2 linked regions of the Macaca mulatta genome follow. The protein of the gene in region 2 interacts with the protein of the main gene of each other region in a pairwise test. Links are inferred from orthologs where the notes say so. Each region holds a gene or a part of one and is shown on either strand. Other genes may lie near its edges.

Region 1 (5,692 bases), on a different chromosome or scaffold from region 2:
GCTATATCTGCTCATTGCTCCCGAGTATTGCTGTTCTAACTCCATTCACTGGTGGGTTTTGGTTTTTATTTTTGTTTTGTAGAGACAGGGTCTTACTATGTTGCCCAGGCTGGTCTGTAACTCTTAGCCTCAAGCAATCTTCCCACCATAACCTCCCAAAGTCAGAGATTACAGGCATGAGCCACTGTGTCCAGTCCCAATTCACTGTTTTTTTTTTTTTTTTATTGTTAAAATGACCTTGCATTCCTGCAACCAATACCACTTAATCAAGATTTATTATTTCCTTAAATTGCTGGACTTAATTTGCTAATATTTCCTTAAAGATTTTGTGTTTACAGTCATGAAGGATATTTGTAGTACTCTGTTTTAGTGATATCTCTCTCTGGTTTTAGTATCAGGATAATACTGGTCTTGTAAAAATTATTTTAGAACTTAGAACAGGTTCATACATTTCCCAGCTTATTTTAGTTGTGAAGTAAGTTGGGAAATGTATGACCCTGTTCCAATTTCTAAAATAATTTGTTTAAGAGTAGTAATTAATTACTCACGAAATGATAGTTGCCTTTGACAGGCATCATGCTAGAAGGAAAATCATGGCCATCTTTTTATTGGCCTCTTATTGCTATATTCCACTTTAATCATACATAGCTTGATGAAGTTATATTGTACATTATTGGATAATTTTCTATTCAATCAAAGGCAAAATATTAAGAAAAAATAAAGTAATGATGTAATAAAATTCCACCTTACATAAAGGGAGTTTCAAAATGTTACTTAAAAATTAGTTTTGTTCTTTGTAAAACCTATCTGACAAGACAAATCTTTTTAGTTTTATTCTTATAATACTTCATTCAAAAATGTATAATTAACCCAAATGAATCACTGTACCTGTATGTTTCAATAGCTTGCATATCTTCTTCATCAAATTCATCTTCAGCTTCCTTCAGCTGTGCAAGAGTCATCTTTTCAAATGGTTTCACTAAAACAACATAAATTATAGATTATCAAATTGTTTAAAAATTTTTTTACTATACAATCAATGTCTAGAAAAAAACTGTCTTAGACAAAGGAGATCAACAGTATCTTTAAACAGCCGGGTGTGATGGAATCCCAGCACTTTGGTAGGTCAAGGTGGGCAGATCACTTGAGGTCAGAAGTTTGAGACCAACCTGGCCAACATGGTGAAACCCTCTCTCTACTAAAAATACAAAAATTAGTCAGGTGTGGTGGCAACACCTGTAATCCTAGCTACTCGGGAGGCTGAGGCAGGAGAATCACTTGAACTCAAATGACTGAGGTTGTAGTGAGCTGAGATCGCACCACTGCATTCCACCCTGGGCAACAAAGCGAGACTTGGTCTCAAAAAAACAAACAAACAAAAAAGAGTATCTTCAAACAAACATAAAGCAGCCAGCCACCAAAAAAAGGTATACATATTATAGAAAGTATAACATTAAAGTATTACTCCGTCAAAGTTCATAGAACTGACAGGCTACATTTAAAACTAGGTATGGGCTGGGCGCGGTGGCTCAAACCTGTAATCCCAGCACTTTGGGAGGCCGAGACGGGCGGATCACGAGGTCAGGAGATCGAGACCATCCTGGCTAACACGATGAAACCCCATCTCTACTGAAAAATACAAAAAAACTAGCCAGGCAAGGTGGCGGGCGCCTGTAGTCCCAGCTACTCGGGAGGCTGAGGCAGGAAAATGGCATAAACCTGGGAGGCGGAGCTTGCAGTGAGCCGAGATCCGGCCACTGCACTCCATCCAGCCTAGGTGACAGAGTGAGACTCCGTCCCCCACCTCAAAAAAACAAAAAAAACTAGGTATGAAAATCAATTAGATTTCATAAATTCAGATTTCCCTCAAGTACCTGGAAATCTTGATAAAGAAGACATACTATACATACTATAAAGAATGATAAAAATAGATGGTAATAAGATAGAGGGACAGGGTGGGAGAAGAAAGCTCCCTAGTTTATGCAACAGGCTATTTCAGCTCTGTTATTAACTAGTATGCGATTTTCGAAATGTGAAATTAGTCATTTTAGGTGTATACAAATACTGAAAGAATATAAATACTGAAAGTAGTTGGGGTTTATATTAAATGTTTTTGTTTTGTTTTGTTTTTTTGAGACAGAGTCTTGCTCTGTCACCCAGGCTGGAGTGCAGTGGCGCAATCTTGGCTCATTGCAAGCTCTGGCTCCTGGGTTCACGCCATTCTCCTGCCTCAGCCTCCCGAGTAGCTAGGACTACAGGCGCTCGCCACCATACCCTGCTAATTTTGTTTTTGTATTTTTAGTAGGGACTGAGTTTCACCGTGTTAGCCAGGATGGTCTCGATCTCCTGACCTCGTGATCCGCCCGCCTCCGCCTCCTGAAGTGCTGGGATTACAGGCGTCAGCCACCGCGCCCAGCCTATATTAAATGATTTCTAATGTCCTCTCTCCCACTATGTTCATGAAGTACCTTACTACTAACTTAACTGTATTATTCCCATCATCCAGCCCACCAAATCTACAACCATACCCATTGCTTCTTTCTGTAAACCTAAAACCATTTCTTCAATTTCATCTTTTGACTCTTCTTTAGGAGGAAGAATGCCAAAATCTCTTAAAATGTCATTCCATTCTGTATCTTCATTGGGATCCTACACAAAAAGGAAAGAAAAGAAAATTAACATGGTTGTACACTTTAATATGTATTTGGAAAATTCATTGACATGTAGCACTTAAGTGTTCAATTGTTCATGAGCTCTACAGTTAATTGGTTTTGGAGAATAAAGCAAAGTGACCTACTTTCTCCTACTTTCCAGCACTAATGGGATTATGTGCTCCATTGAAAACTTTAATAAAGTATCAATTTAGAATACATATATAGAATATTAAGGAAGTATCTCCTAAGTCATGGAAAATTTGCTGAAGACTGCATTGGGCAAAACCAATTCACATCATACACAAATACAGTTTGGTTTCCTTTTCTACGTAAGCATTCGAGACCATCAGATGAACTTCCTTTTTTTTTTTTTTTTTTCTGAGACAGAGTCTTGCTCTGTCACCCAAGCTGGAATGCAGTGGCATGATCTTGGCTCACTTGCAACCTCCACCTCCTGGGTTCAAGTAATTCTCATGCCTCGGCCTCCTGAGTAGCAGTCTTGCTCCACCAAGCCTAGCTAATTTTTGTATTTTTACAGGGTTTCCCTATGTTGCTTCAGCTAGTCTTGAACTCCTGGCCTCAAGTGATCCTCCCTCCTCAGTCTTCCAAACTGCTGGGATTATCTTTGCTAATTTTAAAATTGGGTTGTTTTCTTACTACTGTTATTTGAGTTCCATATATATTTTAAGTAGTAATGCCATGTCAAGTGTATTGCTTGCAAATATTTTTTCCCAATATATAGATTGTCTCTTCACTTTGCTAACTGTTTCCTTTGCTGTGCAGAAGTTTTTTAGTTCGATATAATCTTGTCTATTTTTGCTTTGTTGCCTGAGCTTGGGGGATTAAATCCAAAAATTCACTGCTTAGACCAGTAGTGTGTAGTTTTTCCCCTGTGTTTTCTTCTTGTATAATATTTTCACAATTTCAGGTCTTATATTTAGGTCTTTAATCAATTTTTAGTTGATTTTTATAGATGGAGTGGGATAAGGGTCCAATTTCATTCTTCTGTATGTGAATATCTTCTTTCCCAAAACCAATTATTGAAGAGACTGTCCCTTCCCCCATTGTGTGTTCTTGTCCCCTTTGCCAAAAATCAATTGACTGTAAATGTATGAGTTCATTTTTGAGTTCTCCATTGGTCAATGTCTATTTTATGCCAGTACCATGCTGTTTTGATTACAATGGCTTTGCAATATAGTTTGAAGTCAGGTAATGTGATGCCTCTAGTTTTCTTCTTTATGCTCAAGATTGTCTTAGCTATTCAGAGTTTCTTGTGGTGCCATATGGATTTTAGAACTGCTTTTTCTACTTCCGTACAAAAGGGCAAATTGGAATCTTGGATAAGGATTATATGGAATCTGCAGATTGCTTTGGGTAATATGAACACTTTAACAATAATTTTTCCAATCCATGAACATGGAATATCTTCCTATTTATTTGAGTCTTCTTCAATCTCTTTCATCAATATTTTATCATTTTCAGTCTACAGATTTTTCACATCCTTCTTTAAGGAGTATTTAAATCCTAAGTATTTACTTTTTTGTAAATATTATAAATGGGATTATTTCCTCAATTTATTTCTCTGATAGTTCATTGTTAGTATACAGAAATGCTACTAGTTTTTTGTTGTTTTTGTTTTGTTTAGCTTTGTGTTTTGTTTTTTGAGATGGAGTCTCGCTCTATTGCCCAGGCTGGAGTGGAGTGGTGCAAACTCAGCTCACGGCAACCTCTGCCTCCTGGGTTCAAGCAATTCTCCTGTCTCAGCCTCCCCAGTAGCTGGAACTACAGGTGCCTACCACCTCACCCGGCTAATTTTGTATTTTTAGTAGAGATGAGGTTTCACCATGTCGGCCAGGCTGGTCTTAAACTCCTGGCTTCAAGTGAGTCACCCACCTCAGCCTCCCAAAGTGCTGGGATTATAGGTATGAGCCACCATGCCTGGCCAGAAATGCTACTAGTTTTTATATTGATTTGGTATCTTGCAACTTTACTGTATCCATTTATTAGTCCTAACAGTATTTTGGTGGGGACTTTAGGGTTTTATATATACAAGATTACATCATAAGCAAACAGCAACAATTTCACTATTTCCTTTCCTGTTTGGATGCCTTTATTTATTTCTCTTGCTTAATTGCTCTGGCAAAGACCTCTGGTACTATATTGAATAGAAGTAGTGAGAATGGGCACCCTTGTCTAAGAAATAAAGCTTTCAACCTTACCATTGAATATAATATCATCGGTAGGCTTGTCATATATGCCTTTATTGTGTTGAGGTATATTCCTTCTATACCTAATTTGTTGCAAGTTTTTATCATGAAAGGATATTAAATTTGGTTGAATGCTTTTTCTGCATCTAACAAGATTATCATATGATTTTTGTCCATAATTCTTTTAATGTGGTGTGTCACATATGTAGATTTGCATATGCTGAAACATCCTTGCATCAACAGGATAAATTCCACTTAATTGTGGTACATTATTCTTTTAATGTGCTGTTGACTTCAGTTTGCTAGTATTTTGTTGGGGATTTTTACATCTGTGTTCTTCAGAGATAATGGCTTGTAATTTTCTTTTCTTGTAATGTCCAGGTCTGGCTTTGATGTCAAAGTAATGTTGATCTCATTAAAAAGATTTAGGGCCGGGTGCAGTGGCTCATGCCTGTAATCCCAGCACCTTAGGAGGCCGAGGTGGGCAGATCACCTGAAGTCAGGAGTTCGAGACCAGCCTGGCCAACATGGTGAAACCCTGTCTCTACTAAAAATACAAAAATTAGCTAGGCACAGTGGCAGGCACCTGTAATACCAGCTACTCGAGAGACTGAGGCAAGAGAATCACTTGAACCCAGGAGGAGGAGGTTGCAGTGAGCCGAGATCGCACCATTGCACTCCAGCCTGGGAGACAAAGTGAGACACTGTCACAAAAAAAGCCAACAACAACAACAACAACAAAAAACATTTAGAAGTATTCCTTTTCTATTTTTGGAAGAGTTTAAGAAGGATTGGTATTAGTTCTCCTTGAAATGTTTGGTCGAATTTACT
Region 2 (5,692 bases):
TTTTTTTTTGTGTGTGTGTGTGTGTGTGTGTGTGTCACCTAGGCTGGAGTGCAGTGGCATGATGGTGGCTCACTGCCGCCTTGACCTCCAGGGCTCAAGGGATTCTTCCACCTAAGCCTCCCGAGTAGCTGGAACTACAGGCACACTACCATTCCCGGCTAATTTTTGTATTTTTTGTAGAGATGATGTTTCACCATGTTACCCAGGCTGGTCTCAAACTCCTGGGCTCAAACGATATGCATGCCTCAGCATCCCAATATGGTGGGATTACAGGCATGAGCCACTGTACCCAGCCCAGATTTGTTTTTAAGTGTATTTTTCTTTTTTAATTTTTTTTTTGTTTTTGAGACAGAGCCTGGCTCTGTCACCCAGGCTGGAGTGCAGTGGCATGATCTTGGCTAATTGCAACCTCCACCTCTGAGGTTCAAGTGATTCTCCCGCCTCAGCCTCCCAAGTAGCTGGGATTACAGGCACCCGCCACCATGCCCGGCTAATTTTTGTGTTTTTAGTAGAGACAGGGTTTTGCCATGTTAGCCATGGCGAACAGTTAGCTGGTCTCAAACTCCTGACCTCAAGTGATCCACCCGCCTCGGCCTCCCAGAGTGTTGGGATTACAGGCGTGAGCCACCTGCCCGGTCTTAAATGTATTTTTCTTAGCATAGCCCAATGAAACTTTGTATTTTTGTGTCAGCTTTTAAAAAAAGAAGAAAGTCTAGGGAAAATGGAGCAAGAATTGGAGGCACGAACCAGAGAACTTAGTCGTACCCAGGAGGAGTTGATGAACTCCAACCAGATGTCATCAGACTTAAGCCAGAAGCTAGAAGAATTGCAGAGACACTACTCAACGCTGGAAGAGCAGAGGTTCTTGCTTGGTCTGTGGGGCCCTTGGGAAGAGGTGTTAGTGTAGTTCTGGCTATAGCCTGCTCACCTTTCCCCGTTGTTCATTACACCATTTTCTGATTCCAGTGCTGGCAAAGGCTTCTGGACACATACTTACCTGCCTAGGACTTAGGCCCCACCCTACCTCCAACCCACTTTCCCCTTCAGCTGCTGAAACTCAGGACAGTTCCAGCCCTGCTGAGCAATTCAATGTGGTTTTAGTTTGTAAGGTATTATAGACTAAGGAGAGGCAGGTCAGGATTTCTTTCTTAAACTAGGATGGACTTTTTCTCCTTGGGCTCCTGCTTCAGAGAGAGCTGAGGCTTTTCCCATTGAAAACTGCATGTGGCTAATGATGCTTGTAGCCCTGACATAGAAAGAACCATTTGTATTTTTCCTACAGAAGACTGTATATTAGATGAGATATCCAAATTTGTTCATTGTCTGCTTTCTTTTGATGAAGAGATCATGTGATAGCTTCAAAAACAGGTGCAGAAAGTAAGATCACAACCCTGGAACAAAAGGAACAAGAGCTCCAAGCACTCATTCAGCAGCTTTCCATTGATTTGCAAAAGGTAAGTAGAGTATGAGGAGAAGACCTGGATTTCTAAGATTCATAAAAACTAGTTCTTTCAGATATTTCTGCCTAAGAGTGACTACTGAACATATATTTCTCATGCAGTCCACATGGCTCCATTTCTTATTCTAGCCAGGCTGCACTCAGATGGAAATGGCCATACAATTGCTTAGCAGAAGTAGTCAGTATTTTCCCATCAGGAATTCTTATACCATTTGGTCAACTCAAATATGTCTCTTTTTTTTTCTTTTTTTTTAAGACGGAGTCTTGCTCTTACTGCTCAGGGATTACAGGCGCCCGTCACTACACCTGGCTAATTTTTGTATTTTTAGTAAAGACGGGGTTTTACCATGTTGGCCAGGCTGGTCTCAAACTCCTAACCTCGTGATCCACCCACCTCGGCCTCCCAAAGTGCTGAGATTACAGGCATGAGCCACTGTACCTGGCCTGACTCAAATATATCTTTAAGCACATAATGAACCTTGAGCATGAAAAATATAACAATAGTGGCTGACATGACCAGGGCTGTACCTTTGACATACTTGGCTGTAATCCAGTTTGTTCTATGGCACATAATCAAATGATGTCATTACAATTTGTTTTTTCATTTCATTGACATACATTTGTTTTCTTTCTACACTAGGGCTGTGCTAAACTCTGAGAATATAAAGATGAAGAATAATATTACTGAATATAAAGTAGTGTTTCTTAGGCCCAGCACTGTGACTCAAGCCTGTAGTCCTAGCACTTTGGTAGATCAAGGCAGGAGGATCACATGAGGTCCTCCTCTTGACCCCATCTCTACCAAAAAAAAAAAAAATTAGCCAGTGTGGTATGTGCACCTGTAGTTCCAGCCATTTGGGATCATGAGGTGGGAGGATCGCTTAAGCCCAGGAATTCAAGGCTGCAGTGGGCTAGGAACATATCACAGCACTCCAGCCCAGGCAACAGAGCAAGACTGTCTTTAAATATAAAAATAAGGCTGGGTGTGGTGGCGTGTGCCTGTAATTCCAGCTACTTGGGAGGCTGAGCAGGAGTTTGAGTTAAACCTGGGAGGTGGAAGTTGCAAGTCAGCTGAGATTGCACCACTGCGTTGCAGCCTGTCTAGGTGACAGAGAGAGACTCTGTCTCAAAAAAATAATAATAAATAAATAGAAATAAAATAAAGTAGTATTTCCCAATGGCATATTTCTTATTGGCATTTTGAGTAGAACAACTTGTATTGTATGATCGTCCATTGCATTGCAGGACATTTAGCATTCCTGGCCTCTGGGTTCTGAATGCCAATAGCATCCTTTAGTCACTGACATCCAGCCCTTCCCCTCACATCACAGAACCACCCCCCTGTTGGGCAGTGCCATCCACCCTACCCTCATCTTTTGAGAAATGCTGATCTCAAGTGAGACAGAGCCTTACAGCATAATTACAGTACAGTAAGATTTTGTCAATAGAGGTCTGTATACCCCTTCTAGCTAAGTATTATCATACTTACAGATATCTAAGTGGAAACTAAGAGAGGTTATTGACCTTGTTCACAATTATACAGTAAGTGACAGAGTTGGATTCTAACCCAAGTCTTATTCCAAAACTCATGCTTATTCTATTGCACTTTGCTGCCTCACAATAAGGAGCACCCAGTAAATATATATATGAATGAATGACTGTGATACAAGCTTTCTACCCTCAACGAACTAAAAATCTCAGTACAGATGTTGTTTTCCTTCAGAGGCTTACAGTTTCATTATAGAACTCAAACCTATTGTAATCACAAGAAAAGAAATGCTCAAACAAGAAGTCTCATGTAAATGAACTAGATTTTTCTTTTCCTTTTTTTTTGAGACACGGTCTTGCTCTTTCACCCAGGCTGGAGTGCAGTGGCATGAACGTCTCACTGTAGCCTCAGCCTCCCAGGCTGAAGTGATCCTTCCACCTCAGCCTCCCAAGTAGCTGGGACTACAGACACACACCACTACAACAGGCTAATTTTTATTATTATTATTATTTGTAGAGATGGGGTTTTGCTACGTTGCCCAGGCTAGTCTCAAACTCCTGGGCTCAAGCAGTCCACCCGCCTCAGCCTCCCAAAGTGCTGGGATTACAGAGGGGAACCACCACACTCAACCCTAGATTTTTCAAATACAAAATATATGCCATAGGGGAAGTACATTCCAGCCCAGGAGTCAAGGAAATCTTCCTAGAGGAACTGGAATGTCAAGGATCAGGAGGACAACAGGAGGCAGAAAAGGCAGAAGGTTAGAGAGTACATTTGGGGTCGTGGAAGAAGGGGGACAACAGACACACAACTTTGGTTTTTGTATTTTGTTTTTTTCTGAGACAGGGTTTCACTTTGTCACCCAGGCTGGAGTGCAGTGGCGTGATGTTGGCTCACTGCAACCTCCACCTCCTGGGCTCAAGCAATCCTCCCGTCTCAGCCTCCTGAATAGTAGGGACTACAGGCACATGTAACCATGCCCAGCTAATTTTTGTATTTTTATTAGAGACAGGATTTTACCATGTTGGCCAGGCTGGACTTGAACTCCTGGCCTCAAGTGATCTGCCCACCTTGGCCCTCAAAGTGCTGGGATTATAGGCACCTGGCCACAACTTTGATATTCAAGGGACCCTTTGATGTCAATTAGAACCATCTGTTGTTTTTATAATTGGAAAAATGGGGCTCAGGGAAGTCCAGAGTGTGGTCACAGTAAGTTTCTTCATTCATGCTAGAAAGATTAGTTAAGCCTTACTATGTGCTGGGCTCTGTGCTGGGTGTTCATAATATTGTGGTGAGCAAAATAGATACAGTTCTTGCCTTTGTAATGCTTATAGTCTAGAAGGGAAGTCAGACATTAATCAGTAATCACATATATAATTACTAACTGTGATGAGTGTTCCGAAAGAAAACTACGAGATGTTGTGAGATCCTATTAAAAGATATCAGATCAGATCCAGTCTTGGAGCTGTAGAACACTTAAGGAAGTAACACTTGATGCAGTGCTCAGGCTGGAGAGAAAGGGATAATGAGAGAGAATTTCAGGCAGGGAACAGCATGAACAAAAACTCTGAGGCAAATAAAAGTATTAGCACATTCAAGGAACTAGAAGAAAGCCAGTGACATACAGAATAAGAGAGAATAACAGATTACTCTGGCCATTAGGAGACTGAGAGGGTCTTCCACTTAGGAAGCTTTTGCAGTTGTTCGACCATAAGATGATGGAGGCTTTGACAAGTGTGGTGGTGAAGATAATAGTGGGTAGACAAATGTAAGAAATATTGACAGACTTACTAATATAACAGATATGGGAGGAGAGGAAGACAAAATTCTGTATTTTTATGGGTGATTTATTGGCTTCTGGCTTGGGCAACAGATGGGCCGGTATTGTGTGAAGATTGTTAATTTGGAATTCACTTTTTTCTTGTCTTTACTGAGTATATATAAAATCATATTTATAAAATATGAGTACGATAGAAAGTATAACAAGGCAATGAGCCCTCTGAGCTATCCCTCAGGTTAAGAAAAAGAACAATGTGTTTATCTTTGAGGTTCCCTCTGTGCCCTTCACTATTCCATCCCATTCCTTTTTCCTTTGGAAGTAAGTACTATCCAGAGATTGCTTCATTGTCTGCTTTGCTTTCTAATGTTGTCAGTTTTATCCCTAAACAATATCTTCTTTAGTTTTCCATGCTTATTAATGTTGTATAAATGAAGTCATTCTGGCTTTTTTTGCTGCGTCTACTGTGAGAATGAAGACCATTCTCAGCAATCAGACTGTCGACATTCCAGAAACTGTTGACATTACTCTGAAGGGACGCACAGTTATCGTGAAGGGCCCCAGAGGAACCCTGCGGAGGGACTTCAATCACATCAATGTAGAACTCAGTCTTCTTGGAAAGAAAAAAAAGAGGCTTTGGGTTGACAAATGGTGGGGTAACAGAAAGGAACTGGCTACCATTCGGACTCTTTGTAGTCATGTACAGAACATGATCAAGGGTGTTACACTGGGCTTCCGTTACAAGATGAGGTCTGTGTATGCTCACTTCCCCATCAACGTCGTTATCCAGGAGCATGGGTCTCTTGTTGAAATCCGAAATTTCTTGGGTGAAAAATACATCCGCAGGGTTCGGATGAGACCAGGTGTTGCTTGTTCAGTATCTCAAGCCCAGAAAGATGAATTAATCCTTGAAGGAAATGACATTGAACTTGTTTCAAATTCAGTGGCTTTGATTCAGCAAGCTACA

What was found. The genes of interacting proteins can lie anywhere in the genome.
Region 1: the proteins of GOLGA1 (region 2) and PDCL2 interact in a two-hybrid assay, tested with the Homo sapiens proteins (2 studies listed by BioGRID). The two-hybrid records come from large-scale screens. The link is inferred for Macaca mulatta from reciprocal best matches to the Homo sapiens genes GOLGA1 and PDCL2.

The regions. Positions count from the first base shown.
Region 1 is NC_133410.1:77,911,402-77,917,093, reverse strand, and holds part of PDCL2 (phosducin-like protein 2), read right to left. Parts: intron 2,650-5,692; coding exon 2,529-2,649; intron 980-2,528; coding exon 889-979; intron 1-888. UniProt on the Homo sapiens protein: Essential for male fertility, spermiogenesis and acrosome formation.
Region 2 is NC_133420.1:22,847,958-22,853,649, forward strand, and holds part of GOLGA1 (golgin subfamily A member 1), read left to right. Parts: intron 1-691; coding exon 692-861; intron 862-1,342; coding exon 1,343-1,454; intron 1,455-5,196; exon of another isoform or gene 5,197-5,692. UniProt on the Homo sapiens protein: Involved in vesicular trafficking at the Golgi apparatus level. Involved in endosome-to-Golgi trafficking. Mechanistically, captures transport vesicles arriving from endosomes via the protein TBC1D23.